Linked DNA regions of Stegostoma tigrinum. The protein of the gene in region 2 purifies or fractionates together with the protein of the main gene of each other region. This does not show direct contact. Links are inferred from orthologs where the notes say so. Each region holds a gene or a part of one and is shown on either strand. Other genes may lie near its edges.

Evidence for each region.
Region 1: the proteins of trifunctional enzyme subunit alpha, mitochondrial-like (region 2) and glypican-1-like purify together in Homo sapiens (co-immunoprecipitation; 3 studies listed by BioGRID and IntAct, with this or other methods). This does not show direct contact. The link is inferred for Stegostoma tigrinum from reciprocal best matches to the Homo sapiens genes HADHA and GPC1.

Annotation. Positions count from the first base shown.
Region 1 is NC_081367.1:8,392,899-8,408,461, reverse strand, and holds the start of glypican-1-like, read left to right. Parts: upstream 1-8,469; 5' UTR 8,470-9,092; coding exon 9,093-9,243; intron 9,244-15,563. UniProt on the Homo sapiens protein: Cell surface proteoglycan that bears heparan sulfate. Binds, via the heparan sulfate side chains, alpha-4 (V) collagen and participates in Schwann cell myelination.
Region 2 is NC_081357.1:132,091,804-132,106,934, reverse strand, and holds the start of trifunctional enzyme subunit alpha, mitochondrial-like, read left to right. Parts: upstream 1-8,928; 5' UTR 8,929-8,996; coding exon 8,997-9,063; intron 9,064-15,131. Other genes in the region: hadhb (trifunctional enzyme subunit beta, mitochondrial), read right to left, coding at 3,607-3,703, 3,825-3,866, 6,623-6,689. UniProt on the Homo sapiens protein: Mitochondrial trifunctional enzyme catalyzes the last three of the four reactions of the mitochondrial beta-oxidation pathway.

The DNA.
Region 1 (15,563 bases), on a different chromosome or scaffold from region 2:
TCTGCCTTGTTCTGTATCTGCAGAGAGCAATCTTTGTGTTGTCTACTTAATCCTTTGCTGAGTTAGTGAAGGATCCAGTTACCCTGCCTGCCCCCTCCACAGCAGTCTAATTATGGAAAGAAATAAAAAGTTGAGATGTGTACTTTGCTCGGAGTGGAAATCAGGAAACTTTGTTTTTGGGAATTCACTGTGTGAGAGGGTAGTAGAGGTAGAATCTGTCATTGTGTTTAAAAAGTACGTAGATGTCCACTTGATTAACTGTGACCTGCAGGGCTATGGACAGGCTGTAGGAAAGTCGGGTAACACAGTCTAGTTCCTTATTGACTGGAACAGACGCAATGGCCTGAATGAATGGAGTACATCATTATTGATGTGTTTTCCACTTGGGGATCCTGCAGCCCTCTGGGCTCAATATCAAGTTCAATAATTTTAGGGCCTAAACACTCCCATGTGCCAGACCCCTACCCCACACACCAGGCCTTGTTACCACATAGCCTGCCATTACACATTACCTGTTATTAGTCACTAATAGTCCCCACATTAACAACTATTCACCCTACCAGCCAGAACATTATTGACTCTCTGTCTGTCCAACTAGTCTTCTCTCCCTTTAGGCTCTATCCTATCATTTACCTCCTCCCTCTTATTTCTGAATATAAACTGATGTTTTCCCAGCCACCATCAGTTCTGAGGAAGGGTCACCGGAGCTGAAACGTTAACTTTGTTCCTGATTTACAGCATCCCCAGTCCTTTTGGTGTTTATTTACATCATTATTGATGGCTGCTGATGTTGAGACACAGGTAGAACAACTTACAAACATACAAAAATGCAACAAGAGTAATCATCGAATAATACAGCATGGAAACAAGCCCTTTTGTACAACTCATCCATGCTAACCAGACATCCCAATCTGATCTAGTCCCATTTGCCAGCATTTGGCCCAAATCCCTCTGAACCCTTCCTGTTCATATACCCATCCAGATGTCTTTTAATTGTACCCACCTCCACTATTTCCCCTGGCAGCTTATTCATTTCATACCCTCTGCATGAAAAAGTTGCCCTTTGGGTCCTTTTTAAACCTTTCCCCTCTCAACGTAAACCCATATCCTCAGTTTTTGACTGCCCTTTCCTGGGAAAAAGACCTTGGCTATTCAGCCTATACAAGTATCCCAGAAGCCTTGTTAATCACCTTATCTACCTGCCCTGCTGACTTCAGGGATCTGTGGTTATGCGCTGTAAGGTCCTGTTATTCATCAGAACCTTCATTTAGACTCTTGAGCTTTGTCCACCATTCAATAAGATGATGGCAGATCTTATTTTGTAACCTCAAATCCACTTCCCTTCCTATCCTTGATAACTCTTCAACTCCTTACTTAATAAGAATCTCCCCAATCTTAAAAATATTCAAAGATTGTTCCTCCAGTAACTTTTTTAAGATCAGAGTTCCAAAGACACATAGCCCTCTGGGAGAAAATGGTTCACCTCATCTCTGTTTAAATGGATGGCCCTTGCTATTTAAACCGTGACCCCCAGTTCTAGATTTTCTCATAAAATGAGACATCTAACCTATTAAGCCCCTTCAGGATCTTCTACGCTTTAATCAAGTCAGTTCTTGCTTTTCTCAGGTGAAGCTGATACATAAAGTCACCATAATCCCACTCTCCCATTCGACAAAGATGACCAACGGTGAGTTTAATGATCACAACATCTCAGCAAGGTCAAAGCTGAGGAGGTAGAGCCTTCATGGCGTCCTTAGCTTGTGTGGGAATGGAATTTCAGCTTTTGCTTCCACTCTAGCTATAGCTGATAGCCTAGACTGTCCAACTTTCAACCTGCCCACTCCAGTTGGTGGTTAGTCTGCTAAGTCTTCTCTGAACTGCAAATAATGCATTTACATTTTCCTTTAAATAAGGTGATCAATGCAATACACAGGAGTCCAGATTGCTTTAACTAGTGCCCTTTATAACATCCCTATTTTTGTAAAAAATTCACCTTGTACTATGTGATAGCATTCTAGTAGCTTTCCTAATTACTTGCTATACCTGTATTCTAATCTTGCAGGATGCATGCACAAGGATACCCAGATCTTTCTGCACCTCAGAGCTCTGCAATCTCTCACCATTCAAGCAATGTGCTTCTTTATTATTGTTCCTTCCAACACGAATAATTTCACAGCTTCCTACACTATACTCCATTTGTCCAATCATTGCCAACTCACCAAATGTACCTACATCTTTTTGTAGCTTCCTTATGCCATCTTCATATTTGCTTTGCAACCTGTCAGCAGCAAATTTAGTATCTATAGCTTACATCTGTTCATTGAAGGTATAAATTATAAACAGTTGAGGTCTCAGCACTGATCCTTTGGCATGCCACTCATTACATCTTGCCAAATTGAAAAGAAAATTTATGCCTACTTTCCGCTTTCCTGTTAGCCAGCCAATCTTCAATCCATTGTCAATGTGCCCGACCCTCTAAATCATGAGCTGTTGTTTCCCACAATAACCTTTGATCTGGCAATTTATCAAGTGGCTTCAGGAACTCTAAGTACACTACATATAACAGTTTCCTTTTATCCACAGTGTTGCTTAGAGTCATAGAGATATATGGCACGGAAACAGACCCTTCAGTCCAACTTGTCCATGCCAACCAGATATCCTAAATTAATCTGGTCCCATTTCCTGTCACTTACCCATCCAAACACCTTTTAAATGTTGTAATTGTACCAGCCTCCACCACTCCTCTGGCAGTTCATTCCATACATGCACCACCCTCTGTGTGAAAAAGCTGGCCCTCAGGTCCCTTTTAAATCTTTCCCCTCTCACCTTAAACCTATGCCCTCTAGTTTTGGACTCCCCCTAACCTGGGAAAAAGGCCTTGGCTATCACCTTATCCATGCCCCTCATGATCATATAAACTTCTGTAGCGTCACCCCTCAGACTCCGAAACCCCAGGGAAAATAGCCCCAGCTTCTTCAGCCTGACCTTGTCGTCCAAACCTCCAACCCCAGTAACATTCTTGTAAATCTTTGCAGAACCCTTTCAAGTTTAACAAGATCCTTCCTATAGCAGGGAGACCAGAAGAAGTCCAACAGATTGGTCAAACATGATTTCCCTTCGGTAAAACTATGCCTGATTACTTGTACTTATGTAAGTGTATGACTATAATCTCTTTAAAATAAATTCTTACACTCCCCCCAATGATACACGTTAAGCTGAACATTCTATAGTTTTCTGCATTCTGTCTCCCCACTTTTACTTGACTGAGCCTTCAGGGTTCTTGGAATGGCCTGTCCTACTGATTTATACACATTTATATCTCTAGGTCAAATTGTTCAGAAGGATTGTTGTTCACTAGCAATGAGGACAGGCTCACCTCTCTCTACAAGTTCAGAAAGATCTCATAAAATCAACCTGAAATGAACCATGAAACCTCTCCCCTTGCAGATGATGTCGGACTTGGTGAACATTTCCAGCATTTTCTAATTTTGTCTTAGATGTCTAACATCTGCAGTTTTTAATATTAACTTGCCCAGTAATTTTACCTCAGTCAAATCACTTTAAACCCATTATCTTAACACTTTGCTTTTTGTGAGAGCTAACTGTGTGTATATATTGGCTGCCACATTGCCCCACATTGCAACAGTGATTGCAGCAACACTGAGAAGAGCTTATTTTTTCTGGATAATATTTTGGGATATTCTGATTGTGGAAGATGTTATGTGAAAGTATGTATTTCTTGAGACATGAAGGTTTGCTACTTGGCTGGGCTATTAAAGGCTGCTGTTGTCTCTCGCAGTATCCTCCAAATGGGAAGCGGTGTTGGATGACAGAAAACTGTCAATGGAGTGGGTTGTAGTGAACAGATAACCAGTCCAATGTGTAACTGAAGAGTTAAAAATGCAATATACTCATGCAACAGGAAAAGAGTTAACTGTACCAAAGGCAGGAGCCCACTCAACAGTTCAGGCACCAGCTGCAGAGATAGGAACCTCAGCCTTCCTGCTCCTCTGATGCTGCTTGGCCTGCTGTGTTCATCCAGCTCTGCACCTTGTTATCTCAGACTCCAGCATTGGCAGTTCCTACAATGGCAGAGATAGGAGCCACTGGCTTTTCGCCAGATTTGAACTAAATTGAACTCCTTCTTCTGGGAGTCTAATACCTTTGCTTTCGATGACATTGTTCTAGTAGCTTTCAGAAGGTGGATTATGCGGGGATTCTGCTGCTTGTCCACGGCACACTAATTTTTGTTTCTGTCAGGAGTCTCTGTGACTTTTCACCATCTTAGTGCAACTTCTGGCCTTTGGTTTGCTGGTGGAATAACCATTGTAATGGTAGAACTGCCCACTCAACGTGACAAAGAAACTAAGAATTAAGTGGGCACACACAGTTGACTTGTAATAACTACATACACCACAAAGCACAACACTGAAGAGCTGCTGACTTACTGTCATCCAATTTTATTTGTTAAAATCAGGATCTACCCCAAGGTCACCTCGTTAAGTGTTTTCTCCCCAGTGAGATCAGCTATCTCAGTAATGGTTGACCATGGTACCTTGGATTTGGGAGCTTATGAAGTTTATGAAGAATGATTGGGCAGACTTGTTCTCTATTCACTGGAATCAGGAAGAATATGAGGTTATCTTATTGAAACATTAGGGCCTAAGATGACATATGAGGCTTCAAGGTTATGGGCTATGTACTGGAAAATGGAATTAGAATAGTTAGATAGTTGTTTGTGACCAGTTCTTTTTTTCGATGGGAAAAGAGCATTCTTCCGTGCTGTAGACCTCTATGATTCTATGATATGGTGGATGCCAAAAGATGTTTCTGCTTTTACAAAGATTTTGAACCTTGCTTGGAAGTCTGGATCCGTCAATTAAGATTAAAATGCAGAGGATTTAGGCAGAAGTAGATCAACGTTTAACTCACAAAGCAGACAAAGGGTATTGAGAATATGCAGGAAAATGGAGCTAAGTGTGAAATCAGATCAGCCATGTTCTTGTTGATTGGTGTACTCTTGTTCCTAATGTATCATTTTCAGTGCCATCAACATAGGCTTCAGTCATAGAGGCATCACTTTTCCCCTTTTACTTTGGGCCACTTACAACTGCAATTCCATCTGGTTTCAGGTCTTCCTCCTCTGCTTCTTTCAGGTAGGCCCAACTCCATCACATTTCCTCTTTCTCTCCACAACAGATGGCCATACTCTTGTAATGACTTTTCAGCTGGCTTCTTTGATGGTCTCACAATCTGATACCCGGATGTGCTGATTCTCGATCTTGTCCTTTCTTGTCACTTAGAGTTGTAGAGGCACACAGCATGGAAATAGACCCTTCAGTCCACTTGTCCATGCTGACCAAGTTTCCCAAACTACACAAGTCCCATTTGTCTGCATTTGGCCTATATCACTCTAAATCTTTCCTATTGGTGTGCCTTTCCAAATATCTTTTAAATGTTGTAACTCCACCTGCACCTTTCACTTCTCGTGGCAGTTCATTCCACATACAAACCACCCTCTGTGTGAAAAAGTTGCCCCTTCACTTTATCTATGCCCCTCACAGTTTTATAAACATCAAAAGGTCACTTCTCAAACTCCTACACTCCAGCGACGCTCCAGTCCAGTGTCAGGCATTTGCTTATAGCTCAAACCCTCCGGCCCCAGTAACATCTTTGTAAATCTTTTCTACACACTCTCCAATTTAATAACCCACTGCTCACATTCATCTCAGTACTTGCATCTCATGAGTGTCCAGTCATGGTTTCTCTCCTGCAGATATTGTCCAAATTTCATCCATGTCCCCATATCCTTTGATCCCTCTATCTTCAGAACCATATCTGACTTCTTTTTGAAAACATTCAATGTTTTGGCCTAACCTGTTTTCTGTGCCAGAGAATTCCAAAGGCCCCCAACTTTCTGGGTGAAGAAATTTCTCCTTGTCTTAATCCTAAATGACCTTAAAATGTGACTCCTGATTCTGGACTCCTCAGTTGTTGCAAACATCCTGTATCTACTCTGTCTAGTCCTGTTGGAATTCAATAGGTTTCTATGAGATTTATGAGTCACTAGGAGTGGTAAGACCTGCTGGAGAATGATGGCTTTTCTGCAGATGGCTTATTTTCAGAAGATTTATCTTCAGATTGACGCTTTTTCTAAATGTGGGCCTGGGAAGAAAACCATCTCTTGAAGTATACATTGATAAAATTGGCTCTCGATGTAACCGTAGCCCTCATACACAGAATTTGTGGGCAAATTATTTTGATGAATCCTAATCTAAACATTCTCCAACCAGATCAGCTATGATCTTAACAAATGATGGAGCAGGCCCTGTCTGCTTCTAATTTGTTCATTTGTATAAAATAGTGAAGGAAATGAAAATGTTAATTTGTCATGTTACATCAAATAAAATTTAAAGAACAGGGCAAATTGAAACCTATATTCAGTAAATTTAAAATGTTATGAGGAAGTACTTCATCATACAATGAGTAATCAATGCTTGATTCAAATTCACTTTCTGATCAAGTAAAAATGTAGATGCATGCACAGTCACATTAAAAATACGTTTGGCAAGCATATGAACAGGAAATGCTTGGATGGGTATGGGTTGAATGCATGCAAGTGGGCTAGTTTAGTTTGGGAGACTTGGTCAGCATGCACGAGTTGAACTGAAGGGCCTGTTTCTGTGCTGAATGACTATGTTACAAGGCTAGTCTCATGACTGTCTTTTAGACTGTTCATTTTCAGTGATATATGTTTTGTATCACTGCACTTCAAACACAGCTAGGAACAAAAGGCATGTTGTGCTTTTCTGACAATAGTGTCTACGTGGGTGGATCAGGATCGATTGTCAGTGATAGCAAACAATTCATGATATGGAAGTGTAAACATTCAGCCTTCTAAATAACCCAACACATACATACATAAACACTACTGGTAAAGGGAAACAAGAAAATTGATTTCTCTGCAGAGATTCACTTTGGGAAAAGAAAACTTTTGTCCAATAGCTGTTAGTTCTTGAAGGTAAAAATGATGAGGTGTGGAAAGTTCAGATGACATTCATTCAGATATTCTGGCATGTTAACAAGAGTCTATTCATCTACAGTCGTCCCTGGGATGTTTGCAAATGTTTCAGGAAATATCAAGACAAACTCCTCAGATGGTTCTCATGAGATCAGGTGAATCTTGAGTTCCAGTACCACAATGGATGCACTTTTTTTTGTTTTTCAGAAACAGGAGAGCTGATCTGGGAAGCTTCTTTCCTTCAGCAAGCTAAAGGACCAATACCGAATCCGAAACATTGAAAATGCAGAAACGAATTCACTGGTGATTAAAATAAACCCAGACAGGTGTCCTCCACCATACAAGTCCAGCAATTTGTTGAAACCAGGAGGTTTCCACGAAATGCCTGACTTTAAAAACATGTTCCAATGCCTAAAGAGAACTTTTAATGAAAAACTCAGTCCAGGTATTCGCAGATGATGAAATTGATCCATTTTTTTCCGCAATACTTAAAGATTCCCATCCTTAAAAACATTAACTGTGAAGCACTATTTGGAGCTCTTTCTGGCAAACATGACGGACAACTTACATCGCAATTTCTGAAAAGTGAGGCAGAGGCGGTAACCCAATGGTTTACAATGCAACTGTTTTACTGTCTAACTGTAATGGTTAATTACTTTCAACCTCTTTAAGGAGTGGAGATTGTAAAATTCTTTCTATTTGAACCGTGTTTTAAAATTCATATCCCTAAAGCAGATCTTTTGTTCAGAATGGCAAACTCAGATCTCCGAAACGTCCTGTTCATTCCTCCCACCTAAAGGCAGGCGTGTCTTTTATACTTGATTGTTTTGCCTTCACAGACAGAGGAGTTGATGATAGGTATTGTTTTGACCTGCAGGAGTGGCAATGTGGAAGCAGTACACACAAAGACCAGACCTTAGTAGTCCTGTTCCAGCTCAGGGGCGATAGGTTAGAGGTTGGGAACCCAATACCACGAAACCCTCCTTTATCAATCCGACTTGAAATCTTTTCCGGGGCCTGGTTATCTCCGTAACACAATTGGCAAAAAGTAAGCAGTAGACTCAGTCAAAAGGCTATTTTAGTGGCTCTCCCACTTCCCCGCACATCACTGTGGGAATAAGGAATTCTTTCTCTTGAAAATTGCAATGCATTTACAGACCAGGTGAACAGTGCGTTTGAATTAGGATCACTTGAGTCCATTCCCCGTTGTAAATTTGAGGAGGTGTGTGGCTGACAGGGTTAAATGAATGGAAGATTCATAAAGGCGGACAGACACTGACACACACAGGGACAGCAGTGCACACTTGCTCACTGGCACTCTGATGGGAGGATAAGAAGACATTCCTGCGGCTCACCGACAATGAAGAGAAAAAAGGGAGGTGATTGACAAAGCCAGGGGCCGTCTTCATTGGTCCCAGACCGCGTCTGTCGTAACATCCTGCTAGAGGTTTTGGGGGTGGAGTTGGAAAACTCAGTAAGGCATCGTCTGCACAGAGAGAGACAGAGGTAGGAGGTGGGCACTCTGTCTCTGTCTGTGCCAGGTCGGACAGATTCTTCACATACACATACACACACACACCTTCTCCAACTCTCGAGACTCTTCATCATACATCCCGAAACTACTACAACCGGTAACAAACTCATTGGGGGAGAGAAGGAAGGGCAGAATTGGAATTAAGAAGAAGACTCCCAGGATTGTGTTCATGTATTTTAGAAGTAGCATTTGTTAATTGTATTCCTTTGTGTGGTCTGTGGGCTGTGTTTTTTTTTAACTGAGTCATTAATGAACCCGTTTGCATCGGCAACTACAGAAGATAAATTGAAATTCGCGTTTCTTTGCTGAAGATTGTAAGTCACAAGCCAGAGAGAGAGAGAGGTGAACAAAAAAAAGCAAGAGTCGGTTGGAATTCCTTTCCTCCTGCAATTGACTTGGGGAAACTTTTGTTTGGATTACGTTGATCCCAGTTTCTTTTGAAAACTCGATTTTGGATTTTTTTGTGTGTCTCCTGTGCAAACAAAAAAAAACACACACACACTCAGTTCTTGATTTGGTTGCACCGTCCTTGCGAAGATGATGTGGATTTCGCTGTGCCTGGCTTTACTGGGACTCCTTCCCTCCCCTGTTGTGGGAGACCAGAGACCCAAGACCTGTTTGGACATGAGAACGCTGTACAACTCCAAAGGGTTCTCGGTGACCGCGGTGCCTTCAGCTGAGATCTCGGGTAAGAGGGGAGAGGGGTTGGGGGAGAGCTGGTAAAGGGCTCTCTCTTGCCTGGGGGATTTGTATATTTTGGAAGCTACAACTAAAAGACCTTCAGAGAGGAAAAAAAGGACACTAAAATATAGAAACTAGGATGGAAATTGCATTGAGATTGTTTCCTAGCTGACGAGACAAGAAATGTATTGTGAGAACACACGTAAGGTCAATGCATGACTTATTTAAGGTTATGATCATGTGTGTTTCAGTCTCCGTGATGTTTAAAACAATGCGGGTTTTTTTTGAAAGGAGGGTATTTGGCGTGCGTTTTTTGGATGAGGGCACTGGGAAATCGCTGAGGGTCGACTGGTGAAAGAAACAGAGGATATTGGAAGCGAGCAGGAGCCAGAGCTCTTTGTTGGGAATGTGTAATAACATTACCCAATCCCCTAGAGAGAGAAAAATCTAAATGGACTGGGTCTGCTCTGTCCAGTGTGGGAACAGAGCGCTTTTAGGGGCGTGAGCTGGACCCTGGGGGCGACATCCGAAGCGTACAGTGAATCCCCAAATCCCACACTTTGAAAAGTCAAACAATGGCCTTATTTTTAGCAGCAAGGAATTCCCCTGTCTTCGCATGTATATGTGCATGTGTGTGAGCATTCTTTGCCAGAGAGCCTTTTGTTTGAGAATGCCTTGCTCCTTTTGCTGGTTTGTTGAATATGCCAGCTGAGAGTTGGCACGGTGTGGCCATCCTCATGCTGCGTGTTGTGTGCGGGGCGATGAACGAGCGAGAGATTTCCCTGCGGCCTCCAGCGGGAGCTGATGGCAGGGCTCTGTCTGTTTTTGCTGGGGGCTGTTCTTGTCAATGCTGCTGCTGTTGGGGCAGACCTACCTCGGTTCCCCCTTGTCCCCCAGCCCCGGGCCTTCTAAGCTGATGAGACTCAAGGACAATAGCAGTGACTGCAGAAAGATAACTGCCGTGTTGTTTGAAGGGCATGTAACTGTTGAGTAGTTTCCTGGCTACTATTTATTGGCACTGGAGGAGGATACACTTCAATATGGATTGCTCGTTTTTGAGGGGAAATGGGAAGATTTGAAGAAAAGCAGCAGGTTGTTTTATTCACCCCAGATTAAATAAAACAGAGGACTGGTGCATTCCCTTCCAACAAATTCTTGCTATTGCTGTGTAGTTCAACAGAGAGCACTTCTCACCCAGTGATTCCCTGGAAAATTTGTTTGTTGGTGTCGCAGTTGCCTATTTTGTCGCCTTGTCCAACGAGATGGGACGTTGGGTATGCCGTTCAGCGACAGGGGCATCGCAGCTCCCCCTGAGTGCAGGCGTTGCTGGACCAGAGCAGCCCTGGCACAACTGAGCTCCCTACCCAGCCCCCGCTTCCGTAATGCAGCGAGCGGCGGTGACCTCCTGTCGTGTTTCCTCCCCCCGATCGGTAAATTGCTGCTGTTACCCCTGCACTGTTTAAGAAAGATCGCCAATGGTTAATGCCCGTCAGTTAACCCTATACTGGCCGCTTCCTGGCTTGCAAGTGCACCCTTGTACACTTTGTACCTACCCACTGAACGGCTGGCAACAGCTTTAGCCTCCGCTGCTTGTAAAAGTTCCTTAGGCATGAGCGACCATCTAGGGAATTGAAGGTCTTCAGAACAATAGTTCATTGGCTATCGGCACTTTGAGAATTCCTGAGAGGGTAAATAGGATTGTATCACTAAGTCTCCCCTGTACTCTTATGCACTTGTTATTCTCTGATTGTCGGTCCCCTATTATACACCTTTTGTTTTCATGATAACCCGTTGTAACAAAGGATCATCTCCCATTCCTAACATTCTGCAGTCTTACTGGTTCACCTTGCACTATATAAATGCAAGGCACTGTTGAATAGGCAGAAATTGGTTTGGTTTTTCCTGGGCTCATTGTGAATTCTTGGGAGTTTATGATAATTCCGTTTTCCTAATCAGACTCCCTGACGATCAAGAGATAGTAGGAACTGGTAATGCTGGAGAATCTGAGATAACAAGGTGTAGAGCTGGATGGACACAACAGGCCAAGCAGCATCAGGGGAGCAGGAAGGCTGACATTTCAGCCCTAGACTCTTCTTCAGAAAAGGGGGAGGGGGAGGGGAGGGGGTTTCTGAAATAAAAAGGGAGAGGGGGGGAGGCGGATTGAAGATGGATAGAGGAGAAGATAGGTGGAGAGGAGACAGATAGGTCAAAGAGGCAGGGATGGAGCCAGGAAAGGTGAGTATTGGTGGGGAGGTAGGGAGCAGATAGGTCAGTCCAGGGAGGATGGACAGATCAAGGGGGCAGGATGAGGTTAGCAGGTAGGAGATGGAGTTGGGGCTTGAGGTGGGAGGAAGGGATAGGTGGGAGGAAGGACAGGTTAGGGAGGTGGGTCGAGCTGGGCTGGTTTTGTGATGTGGTAGGGGGAGGTAAGATTTTGAAACTTGTGAAATCCACATTGATACCATTGGGCTGCAGGGTTCCCAAGCAGAAGATGAGTTGCTGTTCCTGCAACCTTTGAGTAGCATTGTTATGGCACTGCAGGAGGCCCAGGATGGACATGACATCTCAGGAATGGGAGGGGGAGTTGAAATGGTCCATGACTGGGAGATGCTGTTGTTTAGTATGAGCTGAGCGTAGGTGTACTGCAAAGCGGTCTCCAAGCCTCTTTGTAGGTTATGTTGAACAGTCCCTCTTCCGTACCTACACTGGCCCTAAACCCCACCTCTTCCTCCGTTACATTGACTGTATCGGCGCCACCTTGTGCTCCCACAAGGAGCTTGAACAGTTCATCCACTTCACCAACACCTTCCACCCTGACCTTAAGTTCACCTGGACCATCTCTAATACCTCTCTCTCATTCCTGGACCTCTCTATTTCCATCTCAGGGCAACCACCGAGAAACTGATATTCATTTCAAGCCCACTGACTTTCACAGCTACCTAGAATACACCTCCTCCCACCCACCTTCCTGCAAAAAGGCCATCCCCTATTCCCAATTCCTTTGCCTCCGCTGCATCTGCTCCGGAGATGAAGCATTCCACTCCCGGACAAAACAGATGTCCTCGTTTTTCAAGGACCATAACATAACCCCCCACCCAGTGGTGGATGACTCCCTTGACCGTGTCTCACTCATTTCTCACAACTCATCCCTCACACCCCCTGTCCGCAATAACAACCAAAACAGAATCCCCCTTGACCTCACATACCACCCCACCAACCGCTGGATCCAATGCATCATCCTCCGACACTTCTGCCATCTGCAGTCCGACCCCAATATCGAAGACATCTGGAGGGACCACTCTCTCTGTGATTCCTAAGTCCGCTCCACACTCCCTCCAGCCCCACCATACCCGGCACTTTTCCCTGCAATCGCAGGAAGTGCTGCACCTGCCCTTACACCTCTCCCCTCACCCCCATCCCAGGCCCCAAGAAGACTTTCCACATCAAGCAGATGTTCACCGGCACATCTGCTAATGTGGTATACTGCATCCGCTGTACCCTTTGTGGCCTCCTCTACATCGGGGAAACCAAGTGAAGGCTTGGGGACCGCTTTGCAGAACACCTATGCTTGGTTTGCACTAAAACAACTGCACCTCCCAGTCGCGAACTGTTTCAACTCCACCTCCCATTCTGCAGATGACAGGTCCATCCTGGGCCTCCTGCAGCGCCACAATGATGCTACCCGAAGGCTGCAGGAACAGCAACTCATTCCGCTTGGGAACCCTGCAGCCTAATGGTATCAATGTGGACTTCACAAGCTTCAAAATCTTTCCTCCCCCTATCGCATCCCAAAACCAGCCCAGTTTGTCCCCGCATCCATAACCTGTCCTCCCACCTCAAGCCCCACCCGCATCTCCTACCCACTAACCTCATCCCGCCCCCTTGACCTGTCCGTCTTCCCTGGACTGACCTAGCCCCTCCCTACCTCCCCACCTACACTCACCTTTACTGGCTCTAACCCCGCCTCTTTGACTGGTCTGTCTCCTCTCACCCTACCTTCTCCCTTATCCATCTTCTATCCACCTCCCCCCCTCTATTTATTTCAGAGCCCCCTTCCCCTCCCCCATTACTGAAGAAGGGTCTAGCCCCAAAACGTCAGCCTTCCTGCCCCTCTGATGCTGCTTGGCCTGCTGTGTTCATCCAGCTCTACACCTTGTTATCTCTGACGGTCAATGATTGTTTTTGTGCATGATCCTTTACCTGCATCTCCTGCCCCCACTACATTTGCCTTCTGCCCAGCATCTCTTCTCTGGCTGATCTTTTCCTCTGTCAGCTCACATGCCCCTTCCCCACCGTTAACCTTCAAGCCAACCCCTCCCCTCACATTTTGCTCCTTCTGGCCTGGTTGCCCTTGGTATCGGACAGGTGTTCGCTTTCCAATCCACCATCCGCCCCTCCCAACTCCTTTTCCGTGCATGCATGCATAGTTTTCCTTCTTTAGCTCTCCTCTCCTCTCTCCCCTGGTCCTAACCATGACCACCCCACCACATGCCCAAACCTCACTTATCTGTTTCCATGCGTGGGGTAGGGAAGAGGCCTTGTATGGGCAAGAGGGATTGTGTTGGCTTGGTGGGGTAACCTGAGCATGGAGGGATATATTGTGAGGGCAGAGGAAGGAACTGTGGGTTGTGGGCTTTGAGATGCCTCCAGTGTTCCATCTTGCCTGTGTTGGCTGAAGTGAAAGTGGAATCTGGAAATAATGCCTCATATTGGCATGTGTGAGATTATCACGGTATGTCTTGAATTATTGGGGAAATAATTGTGCCATGGCATTGCTGGGTTATATCAAGCTAGAGAAAGTAACTCTTTGCTCTCTGTTAGCTTGACTGCCTTTTAAGGTTGTCACACAGAGATACAGTAAACAGGTGCCATGTTAGCAGCTCCTGTGTGGTTTTGAAATGGTGTATTGAAGGTGTATAACATTGAGCTAATATTAAACCTCTGACATGGCCTTGAGAATCGTGTATCAGAATTGTTGTCAGTCGGACTTTAGTGATCTCTAGGAAAACAACCACTGTTCTGGGCTATGATGTGGAGATGCTGGTGTTGGATTGGGGTGGACAAGGTCAGAAATCACATGATGCCAGTTTTTAGTCCAACAGGTTTATTTTTCTAACACGAACTTTTGGACCATAGCCCCCTTTGTCAGGTGAAGTGAGCTAGGCTGGTAGAAAGATCCCAGGTTGGACTCAGATGATCTTATTTGGCCAATGGTGTTGAAGTTCTACTCACTGACCCATGGCTCTCATATTCCCTTATTCTGATTCCTGACTGTCACTTCCTCCTCTACTCTCACCAGGCGCAGTATAGCCTTCTAATGGGGCGCTAGCACTTCTGTCAGTCAGTCAGCCTGAATGTGTTGGTATGTTCAAGGTTTCTTGAGGGACACACTCAAAACAAGCAGCATAGGGATTGCCAGCCTGAGGTCCATCGTGTTTGCCTCCTTGTAGCTGTAGGATACAATGTAAACAGAATTTCTTATATACCCTACAACAGACTCAGACTTGAGACACGGAATCCCCAGTGATGGAGCGATTCAGAGCCATTGTTCCAAAGTTAGCTGTTCCTTCTCACCATCCCACTCACCACATGTTGTGTCTAAAATATAATGCATCACAAAATGTTACTTTCATGTTTGTCTTCCATTTGTAACAATTGCATCCTGCTGCATCTAGTGCTGTATTTAAAGAAACATGTTTACACTCTGCTGATAGTACTGGGCATATTAAGTCTGTTGGTAGCAATAAACGATAGGAAAAATCACATGTTTGTTAATTTATTTCACTGCTACGGAGCGCACTTCTGGTGTGATGCTCTTAATTCAACACCTCAAATTGCTCCCATCGCCAGTGAGAAAATTGCCTTGCTCGAATCCCAGTGATGTGTGTGGAGTGATTGACTGCTATTCTGTCACATCGGCACGGAACAGGGGAGTTTTCACATTTCCGATCCCCTTCACAGACACACTGAGTGGCTGGGGAAGGGGTACAGATTTTCATCCACATCATCAGTAGCAGAGATCTGGCAAAGAGTAAATTGTGCACAGCCTGCAGAACTGTGGATTTTTAAGCCATGAATTTCATTAGGCTAGCTCTGTGAGAGTTCCTTATTCCCTACCATTGGCAACAAAGCCCTACACTTTGAACTTCCTTCTCTGAACATCTCTCTCCTCCTGGAAGTTCCATTTCTTTGACCACGTTTTAGCTTCCCTGTGCTTATCCTGCCTGGTGTTCCATCATCCTTATTTCCATCTCTGTGTTGTTAGCATCTGGGGGGATCTTTCAAAGCTAAGGTGCCATGTCAATGCAAGTTGTTTCTTCCACAATC
Region 2 (15,131 bases):
CCAGGAACTTAATGCTCTTGATCCACTCCACTTCAGCACCGATGTCGATGGGGCACGTCCTCCTTTCTCTCTGAAGTCAATGATTTGTTTTGCCAACATTGAGAGAGGGGTTATTATCATTGCACCAAGAAACCAAGTCCTCTATCACCTTCCTATATTCTGATTCATTGTTGTTTGATATCCATCCTACCATGGTGCTGTCATCAGCAAACTTGTAGGTGATATTCATTCAAACTTTTGCTACACAGTTGTGCATGTACGGGAGAGTACAGTAGGGGACTGAGAAAGCAGCCTTGGGTGGCTCCAGTATTGAGGCTTATCATGGAGATGGTGCAGTTGTCGATCTGCACTGATTGCGGTCTATGGATCAGAAAGCTGAGGATCAGACTGCAGAAGTGAAATCTAGGTCTTGAAGTTTTGAGTTCTTTCTTGAGTGGATTATGGTGTTGAAGGTAAAGCTGTAGTCGATGACTAGGAGTCTAACGCAGGTCACCTGGCTAGCCAGATGTTCCAAGGATGAGTGTAGGGCTAGGGAACTATAATCTGCTGCAGACCTGTTTCATTGGAGGTAAATTGCAGGAGATTGCGACAGGCTAGGAGGCTAGAGTTGTTGTGGGCCATGGTCAGCCTCTCAAAGCAGTTCATGATTATGCAGTTCAGAGCCCCTGGGCGGTAGTCATTAAGACACGTTGCATGTTCTTTCCTTGGTACTAGAATGACGGTGGTCTTCTTGAAGAAGGTACGGACTTTGGCTTATAGAAAGGGGAGGTTCAAGATGTCAGCGAATACTTCTGCCAGCTAGTCCACACAGAAACTAAATGAACAGCTGGGGACTCTGTCCTGGCCTGTCGCCTTCCTTGGACTGACTCTCAGGAAGACTGATCTGATGTCTGCAGCAATGATGAATGGAACAAATGCATTCTCAGCTGTTGGAGGTGATGCTGCACCACTGGCATTCTGCTCAAACTGAGCACAGAATGCACTGACTACATCCAAGGAAGTGTGTTTTTGTTCACAAATCTTGCTGTGCTTTGTTTTGTAACCCACTATGTTGTGTAAGCCTTGCCACAGGCAGGTGTCCATATGGGTGAGCTGGGCATCTAACTCGGTCCAGTAATGCCTTTTGGCACCTCCGATGGCTTTGAGGAGGTCATATCTGCATTTTCTGTACAGGTTTGGGCTGTTCGACTTGAACGCTACATGCCTGGTCTTCAGTCGGCAGTGGATTTTCTGGTTCATCCGAGATTTCCAGCTTGAGAACACCCAGATTGGCTCATTTGGCACGCAGTTCTCCATGCACTTACTAACAAAGTCCATGGCAATGGTGGTGTATGGTGCTGAGGTCTTGAACATGGAGCAGTCCTCGGATTCCAAGCACTCCTGAAGAAGCCATTCCACTGCCTCAGATGAGCAGTGTACGAGTTTATGAGAAGGGTCCTCCTGTTTCAGCTACTGCTTGTAAGCTGGGAGGGGAACACAGCATCGTGATCTGATTTTCCCAAGTGTTGATAGGAAATGGAGTGATGGGCTTCTTTGATGGATGCGCAGCAGAGGCCCTGGACTTTTTATCTTCTCGTGAGACAGATGTGTTGGTGGTATTTTGGCAACACCCAAGGTTGGATTGGTTGAAGTTAGCAGTCAAGATGAATACTATCTTGGTGAATTTCACCTTCATAGCATTTGTAGCTGTGTAAATTTCATCCAAAACACTCTTCTTATCCACATGGGGCGGTATGTAAATTGCTGTCAGGATGGTGAAGGTGAACTCGTGTGACAGATATTTGGGTTGGCATTTCACTGTAATGTATTCGAGGTGCGGGGGCTTTCTTCCTCAACCGAGGATTTCGCAACAGTATAATTGACTAGCTCCTCAGCTGGGTCCACCTCATTTTCCCAGCTTCAGCCTTCAGCCCCTCTCTTTCCTCCCACAACAGTGACAGGGTCTCCTAGTCCTCACCTACAATCCCACCAACGTCCACATCCAGAGGATCATTAGCTGCCCTTTCCATCACCTCCAGCAGGATGCCACCATCAAACACATATTCCTCTTCCCTCCATTATCAGCCACCTGCAGGGACCATTCCCACTGGGCCACTCCTCTTCCGTTGCAGCACGTTCCCAAAGCCTCACTTCACATTCCCCTGCAGCTGCAGAAGGTCTAACACCTGCCCGTTTACTTCCTCACTTCTAACGACTGAAAACCTCAAACACATCTTCTAAGTGAAGTGGTGTTTTACCTGCACTTCACTCAATCTCGTCTACTGCATTCACTGATCACAATGTGGTCTTGTGGGAAACATTGGGGAAACAAAGGGTAGGCTGGGTGACTGCTTTGCAGACCAACTACATTCTGTTCACAAAAAAAACACCTGCTTGCCACCTCAACACACTACCATGTTCCTTGGCCAACAGCTGTCTCAGGATTGCTGCAGTGCTCCAGTGAAGCTCAGCACAAGTTAGAAGAATAGCGGCTCATTTTGTGCTTGCGAACTCTGCAGCCTTCTGGAATTAATATCGAGTTCAACAGTTTAAGGTCTTGAGCACCGTTCCCCATGCTTTCCTCTGCCCTCATAAAGTAGGCCATGTCATCACATGGGCTGCTACTGCAAATTACCCATTGTCAAACACTAATAGTCTCCATTAGCAACTTTAACCACTCTCTTTGTCTGTTTCTTTCTCTTTGGGTTCTATCTCTGCATACTGTTTACTCTCACCCCCTCCTCCCACCCTATCTTCTGTAATAAAGAACATCCTTTACTTCATTACTATCAGAGAAGAAGGGTCACTGGACCTGAAATATTGACTGATTTCTCTCCATTGATGCTGCCAGACCTGCTGAGATTTTCCAGCAGTTTCTGGTTTTGTTTCACACCTCCATCCTGGAGAAACTGGATGTTTAGGGCCCCTTTAGGGCCTGTACTGTGCTGTAATGTTCTATGTACATAAACAGCGACAGGCCAAAGATAAGACAAGTTGAGCAAATGTCAAGGTGGACTGGTCAGAAGGCAACTGTAATTGAGGTAGAGTCCTTTCATCAATTACTGTATTGAAAACATGCTTAAACCTACACAAAAGCATTAAATAAGTACTCAAATATTTTTTAAAAAGCCACACACCATCCAAAGATAGTAAGAACTGTGGATGCTGGAGTCAGAGATAACACAGTGTGGAGCTGGAGGAACATAGCAGGCCAGGCAGCAGCAGAGCAAGAAAGTTGACATTTCAGGTTGGGACCCTTCTTTATACGACATACCATCTGAAAATCTTTTAAAGTTACCGAGCACCAGACTGAAGAGCTCCCCTAGTTCTTGATTCCTCTAGTGAGCCATGAACCATACATTCTGCAGGAGCTGGCCCAGCTCCATCAAAATTGCATGGCGATCTGAATTGCCCATCCCTCCAATGGAGTTGACTAGGTTGGAAGTGTTGCACACAAGCTCACTATCAGTAACGTTGTTGAATGCTGACAAAAAAAAATGCAGCATGTAGGAATGGGGCTGTAAATCTTTGAATGGAGGTCTGCTCACCTTGTACCTCCATTCTGAAAGGTAATTTGGCCGCAAGCATAATGTGTGGAGTTAAATCACATAAGTCTTCATTACTTACGTAGTACCGGACATTAAGAATGGTGTTCGAACGCCTTCAACGAGGACAATATTTCTTATCCCTGGTTTTGCTAGAGTTTTCTTAGTGGTTGACTGCACTGTTGGACAGAATTTTAAGCCAACATAAACTTATGTTACTAAAACTTTTAAGAGTGAAATATCAAGTTAACAAGTAAATGTATGCCAGTTATGAGGAAAATTGTTCTGAAAGCACTGTACCTTGAGGCAGAGGATGAGATACTGAACTCAACAAACGTGCATCTAGTTTCAAAAGAACAACAGCATCAATAACCACACATCTTAATTGTCTCTTCGCAAACATCAGAACCTTATATTCAACTGCACGATTTAAAAAAGTCTAACAAAATAGCCTCAAGAATCTTGGCATTTATTATTTGATTAGGGCTGGGAATCTGAAATTTTCCACCAACTACCAAGAAATACCCTTGTTTTTAATAGATCAAATGCTTTTGTATCAATTTTACTTGAATAATCTCACAATACATTTTGCAGCAAAATAACCAGATTGGTTAATTTAACTATTAATTGGCCCTAAAATCCTCTTATTAACACTTTCATGTTATTTCTCAGCGTTCTGACATCGAACTAGCCCCTTCTTCCTAAGACTCCTGGTCACTCTGTCTCACCTCAACTTTCCCACAAAATTTGCTGACATGCTGCTTCCAATCCCAATTCGCTCACCTGTCTTTTTCCCTTCTCTCCATCCCACATGGTCTCAGGATAGGGGCACTGAGAGGGAGGAAGCCAGGAGGGAGAAAGGTAATCAAGGGAAGCGGCATGCGGAATGACCAACAAGTGGGCCACAGAAAAGACAAGTGTTAACACAACTTCAGGATCCAGGAAGTGAACCAATGGATTTTGTTAACTGATGTGACCCAATTAATCATGACAGGTTTGTACTACATCTGTAATTTCTTGGTATGGGGAGTTTGCCTGCATTTTGATCATACAATCGGCTGGCAGTAAACTCCATTTTGCTACAAAGATGAGCACAGCAGCGATAATTAAGTGTATAGCTCTTCATGGATTGTTGCACAACCATACAGCTTAGATGGAACACTGCCATATCGTGGTGGGAATCTTAAAATTAAGGTGCAGCTTAAGCAAGAGGCAGCGTAGGTCAGTGAGTATACAGGTGAAGGGTGGTCAGTACTTGTCAAGTTTGAGGACAACAATTTAGATACCCTCAAGCTTTTGGATGGTAGATTACAGGAGACCACCCAAATATGCATTGTCAGAGTCAAAATTACAGTAAAGAAACCATGAATGAGGCTTTCAGCAGATGAGCAGGGATAAGAGCAAACTCAGGCATGGTTACATAAGTGCTACTAGTTGGCCCTTCGTGTGGATGTGGCTATGTGGTTGGTGCTTATTTTTAGGTAAAATGAAACAGCAAGATTATGAACAGTTTCATTTGGTCTCACTTTTACCAAGAAAAGAACACAATTCAGAGAGAGGAAATGGAATTTGGAGTGGGGAATGAAGACGATGGCTTCAGTTTTTATAGAATCCCACAGGCCATTCGACCCAACAAGTCCACACTGACCCTTGGAGCATCCCACCCAGACCCATCTCCTGTAACCCAACTCATCTGCACATCCCTGGACACTATGGGCAATTCAGCATGGCCAATCCACCTAGCCTGCACGTTTTTGACTGTGGGAGGAAACTTGAGCACCAGGAAGAAACCCATGCAGACACTGGAACAATGTGTAAACTCCACACAGTCACCTGAGGCTGGAACCAAACCTGGGTCCCTGGCACTGTCAGACAGCAGTGCTAACCACTGAGCCACCATGCCACCGCTTTTCACAATTTATTCAGAGGAAATTTCTAAATATAAGTATTTAAATCTCATTGTAGTAAACATTGTTGCAGTTGTAAATCACTGAAAAAAACAGGTAACCTTTATATTACACACTTAACATCCTCAGAACTTAGGATTCTGATCATTTTTGATTTTTCAGACTAATAAACATTAATATCAAAAGAAGCATTAATAAGATTGCCACATCTTTGCAATGGTTTTCCTCAACTGATAATAACTGACATAACAAGTCACAAAATTACATAAAAACTCTATCGCGAGACGCGAAATAGTTGATACAGAATACACATTACATAATGTAATATATCTCCTTTTTTTCCCCACATAGCACAACAGTTTGACTTTACGGAAGCAGTGGTAGTGGGGGGTGGGGGAACCTATTCTCACATTTTAATCATGTCTGCAAAAAGGGGATCACTTGACCCTCTCTATGCTCTCCACCAGCAAAGCATCTAAAGCCTCCCTTTCAGCATAGCGATTGGGAACTCTTGAGTGAGTTAAGGTGAGCCTACATTCTCTTGCTCAGTGGTTTCATATATTAATGCTCCAGGCGGTGCCATCGTTGACTAAATCAGATAGTGCAACAATAAGGATTCCTGAACGAAGTATAATACAAGGCCTCAACCCAGCTCCTGGCAAGTAAAACAAAACAGAATTCGAGTAGATAGATGCTTGAGGATCCAATTGGACAAGATGGGCTCAAGGGCCTCTTTCTGTGCTGTAATACTCTTATTTATTAAGATAGAAATAGGCTCATTTGTAAAGTGTTTATATAAAATGGGAGAATCTTGCAGTGATCCTGATCCAAAATGGTTTATTCACTTTTGAATATATTTTTCCCCAAAATGTCAATTTTTGGAATTACTTTTAGGCTTTTTAATCAAGCCTCCGCATTTTGGATGGAAAATTAGATTATCGTTCACATTTTCCTTTCATACCTAAAATAGGAGCACAGACAAGCATGGCACTACCCCTACTATTCTCCCCGTTCTAAACTCCTTAGCATGGAATTTTAGCAAGAGATGTAGTCATCTGGTTAACAAAATCAGTGATGGTAGGATCTTGGTGCCCAAGAAAAGATATCAGCAGAAACTGGCAGTTAAATCTCATTAAGAACTGTTGTTTTGGAAATGAATATATTGCAAAATAGTATTGTTCACATACTTACTTAACTTTGCTGCGCACGCCACACTGATTGGGATATTTCTGAACGTACGACCCAACATGGAAGCCATGATTAAAAGGTTAATTTCTAATGAAAGAAAGCAAGTATGATCAGGGCAAAGTACTCAATAATCTAAAGAAGTCTATTTTTCCCCACCAGGAACAATTTGAGCAAAATGCCCAAGTCAATTCCTGGATACATGACATAGGATCGGATCAAGTTATTGTAAATATTGGAATTTGGACTGAAGACTAAAGAAATAATGGAAACCACAGTAAGGCAGTCAGTATCCATGGTGAGACAGCAAGCTAATTTTCAAGTCTCGATGACTGTTCATCAGAACTGTTAGATTCGAAACACAGGTTTGCTCTCTCGCCACAGATGTTACCTGATCCGGTGACTTCCAGCACTACTTCTTTTCAGCCTGGGCACATAACATGACATTAAAGGAGACAAGGATTGCCATTCCTACATTGCTTGGTAAACATTTCAATGTCGCAGCTTTAAAATCCCGAGACATTTCATCTTCACAGGAATGCCAATACAGACTACCCCCACCCAGTGTTGTGCAAATTGGGGATTCCCAGTTGGAACATCAATTAACCTCACACTTTTGAGATTGACCACATGTTTTTAATCATGCTGCAACCATGATGCATTATCAACACATAACCAAACTGTTAGGAAGAGTTACATGATGAATATGCATTACATAAAACACATTATTAACACATTATAAAGTTAGTTAACCACCTAAATAATTAAAAATGTATTGGGAAAGTAAACCAGCACTTGACATTTTTTAAAATATGTGGCAAAATTGTCTAAGATTATCAAGCACCTTAGCAGTTGCAAAGTCAGTTTTGTAACGGTCACCTCATGAGTGAAAACATTTAACATTGGTCATGCAATATCCTATTACATAAAAGAAGCTACGGAGCACAACATTTACATTAAATGAAAACAAAGTGGAAAACAACTCGAAATTTCCAGTCGCTGGAAAAATTGACAGCCTGACACATAACGATCAGACTTTAAAGTACTCAGTTACTCTTGTTACATTGGAATAGCCTGTACAATGACATTCAGGCAGAAGGTTTACCATTTGCAAAGAACGTTAAAATAGAAAACATGACAAAAAAAATCAACCGATGACTGACAAATATAACTAAATAAGAAACGGTCGGAGCCCATGCAAAGGGTCAAAGCTGCGTAGGCTCGTAATTCGGATATTCTTCGGTGAGATCAATAATGTAACGCATTAGGACGTACTTACCACTGCCCTACTGATCAAAAAGGGGTGGGGGGGAAGTTACTACATATAATCGATTTTCAAAGTCCTGGGCGAAAAATTTGAGCGCAATACAATTGATTAACAGAGCTGTAGTTCTGTTATAAGACTCCCAATGAAACTATCAGTGTAGATACCGCTGCTCATAGGCACCTTTCAGGCCCAGTTCAACAGTCGCAGCGGCAAGGCCAGTAATCTGACGCAACAAGGAAAGTTTAACAGACTGAAATGTGCAGCGTCGCTTCACGGCCCGGCCCTGCACGTCGGGGATGGAAAACCTTTCCCTCCCTCACCGAACTCAGCCGGCCCCGCTCTCGGTCTACATACAGCTTCTGCATCAACAACTCATCGCACTGTTTTAGAGAAGGGATTTCCACAACCAACTCCCGCACTCTGGGCCTCCCCTCTCTCGCGCCCGCCCCCGCCCCCCGACTGCACTCTGGGCCTTAGCCTTCTCCCTGTCCCTCTCCCCCACCCACGCCCTCCGGGCCCTCTGTCTCCCCTGCCCGGACTCTGTCGCCCTCCCTCCCACTCTCTCTCTCTCACCCCGGATTCTGGGCCCCATCTCTCTCTTTCTCTCCATACTCCAGATGAGGAAGCTGAAGCCCAGTAGAACCTAAAAATGTTGATGGCAACATTTCACCCACATCTGAATAAACACTACCTGTAACCGTAAAGCCGATCAATGCACGAAATCAGTTTCTGGAGTTGTAGGCGATAGAACGAGTTGGGTTTTGTCGCCGGCGGCAGGTTGTTTTGCTCAGGGAGAGGGGCGGTTCACCCAATAGCGGAAGTGGGGAAATGGAGGAGATGGGCGGGTCTGAGGACGGGGCCTGACGAAGATAGGCAGGTCCGGGGGCGGGAGCGAGTTAGAGACGGGCGGGGATAACACAGTCTGGGGCTGGATTAACACAACAGGCCCAGCAATGTCAGAGTAGGAAAGCTTGGCGTTTTGGGTCGGGAACCTTCTTCAAAGAGTGGCTGTTTACCCAATGGGCGGGTCTCAGGACGGCGGCGGAGTGATAGGCGGGTCCGGGGGCGTGGTTTGGCGGGGCTCTCTGACCCGAGCTGGAGCTGGAAATAGAAATGGCGGCGACTCGGGCGTACGGCAAAATGAAGCTGTTCTCGTTGTTTAGAAAGTTTTGTTATTCAGGTACTTCGTTGTGAAATATTTCTTCATGTGAATTTAAAAGTTTCAGTGGTGGTAGCTAAGTAACTTTATTCTGTCCTGACAAATATTCGGCCTAATCAGAGTGAGTTCGTGACCAAAGTTGGTAATTTCTAGAAATAGGCCGTTCATTGCTGGTGGTGTCTACTTTGTGTCATTTAATTCATTTAATGTCGTCTGGGTAGTGAACAGTAGGATTGCACTGTTTGCTATGAGCCTGGATTAGAAATGCGCTTCCACGCACATACCATTTAATAATCTATATGGCTAAATTACATCCGTACGGTAAACCCTCAAATTTTTTTAAAAAAGCGCTCGGTATTTTCAATCAGAAGGAACCTGATTGTTATCAGTTTTAAAAACAAATATTTCTCGCGTACTAAAAACAAGCTGCTGGAAAGACTTAATGGATACGGCAACATCTGTCGAGATAGATCAGTTAAAATTTCGATCCTCAGGCCTTTGGAATTTATTAATGATACCTGTCTCCAAGGAATGAGTCTTGTTTTGGTTTAATCTCTGGTGTTCGATTTGGTGAAGGTGTGCTTGGTGCTAAGCAGACAGATGGCTCGAAGTAGGGGATGAATATTTGCTTAGGAACCCTGTCTTTGCTGAACTAATTTACACACTAGATGAAATGTACACGTTTTAGTGTCACCTGATTACTAGTTTAATTGTTAGGTTGCTTTAGTCAATACCAACATTCGAGTCAGAAAGTTCTGGATTCAAACACTGCTCCTCAAATGAGGCACAACATGAATAAATAACCTCTTCTGAGGAAGTGTCACCAGACCCGAAACGTTAACTGTTTTCTTTTCTGCAGATGCTGCCAAACGTGCTGAGCTTTTCCAGCAACATATTTAGTCAAGAACAAAAAACAAATTTTTGATATGCATTCTCTATAAATTAGATATGAAATGAAAGACTGGCCTGGTTCATTTGTATATTATACCCATGTTTGGAAAGAGTAACAGCCATCCCCTCTACGTCCCCACCATCCAAGCTATTTTTCCATCCCCACCCTTCTCTGCCTTCCGGAGAGATCACTCTCTCCACGACTCCCTTGTCCGCTCCACACTCCCCTCCCACCCCACCACACCCGGCACCTTCCCCTGCAACCGCAGGAAGTGCTAGATTTGCCCCCATACCCCCTCCCTCACCCCTATCCCAGGCCCCAAGATGACCTTCCATATCAAGCTGATGTTCACCTGCACATCTGTCAATGTGGTATATTGTATCCATTGTACCCAGTGTGGCTACCTCTAGATTGGGGAAACCAAGCGGAGGCTTGGGGACCGCTTTGCAGAAAACCTCTGCTCGGTTTGCAACAAACAACTGCACTTCCCAGTTGCAAACCATTTTAACTCCCCCTCCCATTCTTCAGATGACATGTCCATCATGGGCCTCCTGCAGTGTCACAATGATGCCACCCGAAGGTTGCAGGAACAGCAACTCATATTCTGCTTGCTAACCCTGCAGCCGTATGGTACCAATGTGGACTTCACAAGCTTCAAAATCTCCCCTTCCCCCACTGCATCCCAAAACCAGCCCAGTTCTTTCCCTCCCCCCACTGCAATCCAAAACCAGGCCAGCCTGTCTCCACTTCCTTGACCTGTTCTTCCTCTCACCCATCTCTTCCTCCCACCTCAAGCCGCACCTCCATTTCCTTCCTACCTACCACCTCATCCCACTTCCTTGACCTGTCCGTCTTGCCTGCACTGACCTATCCCCTCTCTACCGATCTTCTTTTCTATCCATCTTCGGTCTGCCTCCCCATCTCTCCCTATTTATTCCAGTTCCCTCTCCCCATCCCCCTCTCTGGTGAAGGGTCGAGGCCCAAAACGTCAGCTTTTGTGCTCCTGAGATGCTGCTTGGCCTGCTGTGTTCATCTGGCTCCATACTTTGTTATCTTGAATTCTCCAACATCTGCAGTTCCCATTATCACATCCCCTCTACACTTGGCTGACCCTGGATTTCAGGATGATTTCTTCTGTGGCCCTGAGTTTCTGTTTTGTCTTAGTGGACTGTACAGGCCAAACTCAACCTGAAGATCTTTGAGCATATAGGACAGGATGCTCCATGAAGTATTGGCATTGGAAATGCAGGAATTCTTCCACTGTTTCCCCTCTTCAGTACAGCTGTTCTGCCATGATGCAGCTTGATGGACAAGTTTTTGCCATTTTGAATGATTAGTGGCAAGCTCCTCTCATTCATTAATTGGAGTGTTGCCAAATTTGAGGAAAAATTTGAGTAAATTGTGGCATTCCTTTTGTCCTGGCTGCAACACTATCCAACTAAGAACTGAGAAAGCAGGACCTGCTGATGAAGTCACTTTTCAGTCATCCAAACATGCTGTCTGCTCCAATTTTTCAATGAGTTTTAGCAGACTGTTTCAAGTAGGACACTGATATTTGTTGATTGATTTCTCAAGTGAATACAGCATATAGTGGAGGCATTCCTGATAGAATTTCTCTTTTGATATTATGTATTGCTCATGTAGGTGGAAATTACTGAAAATGCTCAAGATTTGAGATTAAAAACCAAGCACTGGGGGAACTCTAGGTCTAGTAGCATCTTTGGAGAGAGAAGTTACCATTTCTAGTCCAATTTAACTCTTTCTGCTCAGTTTCTCCAGCGTTTTACTTTGGTCGCTTATGTGTTGTTGATGCATGATCTAGGATGCACTGAAGTACGCAAGTATTGTGACAACCGCACTGTGCATTGAACCTCTGACTTGGGGAGATCTTTGTTGCCAACAGCTGTCTGCCATAGTTTGTAGAAGGCTGAACTGGTGCAGCTGATCCAGTGTTGGGTCTCTACATCAGTCTCCCCTTTGATGAGGGATGATCGCAAAGGAAGTAGGCTGTTTGGCCCTTTGAACATACCTCGCCATTCTAGAGTGTGGCTGAGCATCTCTTTTAATGCTGTTTTCTAGCATAATCCTGTATGTCATTATTCTCCAGAAACCTATAGATTTCTGTCTTGAACCTGCTCAGTGATTGAACAAAATATTGAGATTCTTTCATTTTTAGAAAGTGCAATGTTTGATTGACTAAGCCTGAGTCCTTAGGATAAAAAGGCAGATGTTGGCCATCTGAATGAAAAACAGAAGTACGAGAGAAACGAGCCATCTGACAGCACCTATTGAGAGAGAAACAGATTCAAGTTTGACTGAGTCTCTGCTATACAGAATTGACAAGATGAGTGGTTTGCGAGTCTGGTGCAGAGTGAGCAGCAACACTATATTCAGCTGTATATTGTTGGTCCTGTATGTCTGTGCTGCGCAGTTTAATTTTGGCACAGTGGCAAAAGAGGTAAGTTTTCGTCTCCAGTGGCATTTGCTCACACCAGAGGACATTTGATCTTAGAACTTACTCACTGCAGTCTGGTAGATGGCACATCGTGCAAAAGCAGCCACATAGCCTTCTTGGCATTTTGGATTTTGATGGCATTTGTTTCAGAACCTAACTCAAGTCAGTTGAAGTCAACGTTATGCAGCAGATGCAGAAATGTGAAGAAGTTACTCAGACATCAATCTTTGGAGAACAATCCACACCGTTTACTGAATCAAATGCTCTGATCAACGTCAGAGATATTTCCCTCCCCACCCATGTCTGCCTTTCGTAGAGACCACTCACTTGGTGATCCCCTTGTGCACTCCACACTTCTCATCAACCGCACCACACCTGGCATCTTTTCCTGGAACCATAGGAGGTGCTGCACCCGCCCCTAAACCTCCCAACTTGCCTCCATCCAATGCCCAAGACATATTTTCCAAATCGGACCTGAGTTCACCTGTACGTCCTCCAACCTGGTCTACTGTACCATTGCTCCCTGTGTGGCCTCCTCTACATCATTGAGACCAAGCACAGATTCTGGGACCAATTCATGGAGCATCTGCGCTCTGTATGCTATAATCAGTAACACCTTCCGGTTGCCAACCATTTTAACTTCCCTTCCCACATGCAAACTGGAAGAGCAACACCTCATATTCTGCTTCGGGAGCTTGCAGCCCCATGGCCTGAACATAGAATTCACCAGTTTCAAAATTTCCCCACTCCTCTGGCCGCATCCCATATTCACCCTCCCTCTCATCCCTGCATCCTTGACATGACACAACCTGTCCATCTTCTTTTCCACTTGTCAGCCCCACCCTCCTCACTGACCATCCCCACTACCCACATCCATCTGTCAACATCCTGACTATCTTACCCCAGCCCCACCCCTCCTCTCTCTCTTTTTCCCGGCTCCCTTCCCCCTCCTCAGTGCTGATGATGGGTCCTGAACCAAAACATCAACTTTCCTGCTCCTCTGGAGCAGAGTGACTTACTGTGTTTCCTCCCTCCACACTGTATTGACTCTGATGTTTATGCTGCACTTATCCCCTCTCATTCTATTTACCATGTCTCAGTCAAGCAATATATTTTACTATTATAAGATAACAAGGTGTGGAGCTGGATGAACACAGCAGGCCAAGCCACATCTTGGGAGCACAAAAGCTGATGTTTTGGGCCTAGACCCTTCATCAAAATGTCATTTTGCAGCAGTACAGGTCATTGGTGAGTCCACTTTTAGAATATCGTGTACATTTTTTCTCTGATGAAGGGCCGAGGCCCGAAACATCAGCTTTTGTGCTCCTGAGATGCTGCTTGGCCTGCTGTGTTCATCCAGCCCCACACTTTGCTATCTTGGATTCTCCAGCATCTGCAGTTTCCATTATCTCTGAATATATTTTACTATTCCTTTTTTCTTTTATATGCTTATGTCATTTGCAGTATCCAAGTTATTGGCCTCATCGATGCTCTGTGATAGTGAGTTCCAAATTCGAACTAAGCCCTGAATAAAGAAATACCTCCTTGTCTCTGTAGAAATCATCACACCTGAAGATGTGCCATGACTCCCCATGAAAATTAATTCCACTGCCCTTATGAATTTGCACGTAATAAATTGCTAGTGGCTAGAATCAAGTTCTTTTTAATATTGTAATGTTTAATTATATTTCTATTAAAAATCAACGTCATCTTGGCTGATTGCATGTCAAAATATTAACCTTTGTATTGTGCTGCAAATGATAGCCCATGAGCCAATCACGTGTGCTGCGTATTACTGGGATGACAGAGGAATGAGAACGGAGTCCAATGCAGAAGTGAGAAATAAATGAAGAAATAAAAGGAGTGAAAATTGGAGGGAAAAACTATTTCAACAGTTCACAAATTAAGGGGTTGACTGCTATTTTTCCTAATATATCAAAATCACAAATGCATTGTGCCAGCTTATGGTTGGTTGCCTAAATTCTCATCAGATCTTGAAAAGATGAGTCTGTCAGCAAATAGAATAATTCCATAAAAATCCAAGACCTTTTTCTCACTTTTGCAGAGCATACGGTAAGGAAGTTAAATTGTACTAGCCATATTTGAACCAAGAACACAGGATTGAGCAATAAACAAATAAACTGCAGGCAAACAAAGGAATTGAAAGCAACTAATATGAAAAAGAAATTAGAAATCGTAAGGAAAAGTAAGGTAACACTTAAGTAGTGATAATGGGAGCTGCAGATGCTGGAGAATCCAAGATAATAAAATGTGAGGCTGGATGAACACAGCAGGCCCAGCAGCATCTCAGGAAGCACGAAAGCTGACGTTTCGGGCCTAGACCCTTCACGTTCTTACAGACTGACTTGTGACTCTGGTCATTGGAAAGGATAGACTCCAAGATCTGCCTTCTGCCAAGTTGATACTGGACCTCCTGCATGACCCTTGGCGTTGTCTGCTAGCTTTATAGCAGCCTTCCCAGTAGACAAACATGTTGTCCATATCAACCAACGTTTTTCTCGATTCTGCTGCACCTGATCTCTCCTGTGAGTCCTCTGATTCAGAACTTGTGTGATGTTGTCCTCTGTTGGACTGGAATTCTCACTAACCTTGCCTCGTTGTCCATATCTGCTATTTTATCACATGGAGATCCTGCCTCATAAATTACACACATCTCAGTATCTGATCCTCCATACCTTTCTCGTTGGTAAAAACTGACAAGAAATATTCATTTAGGATCTC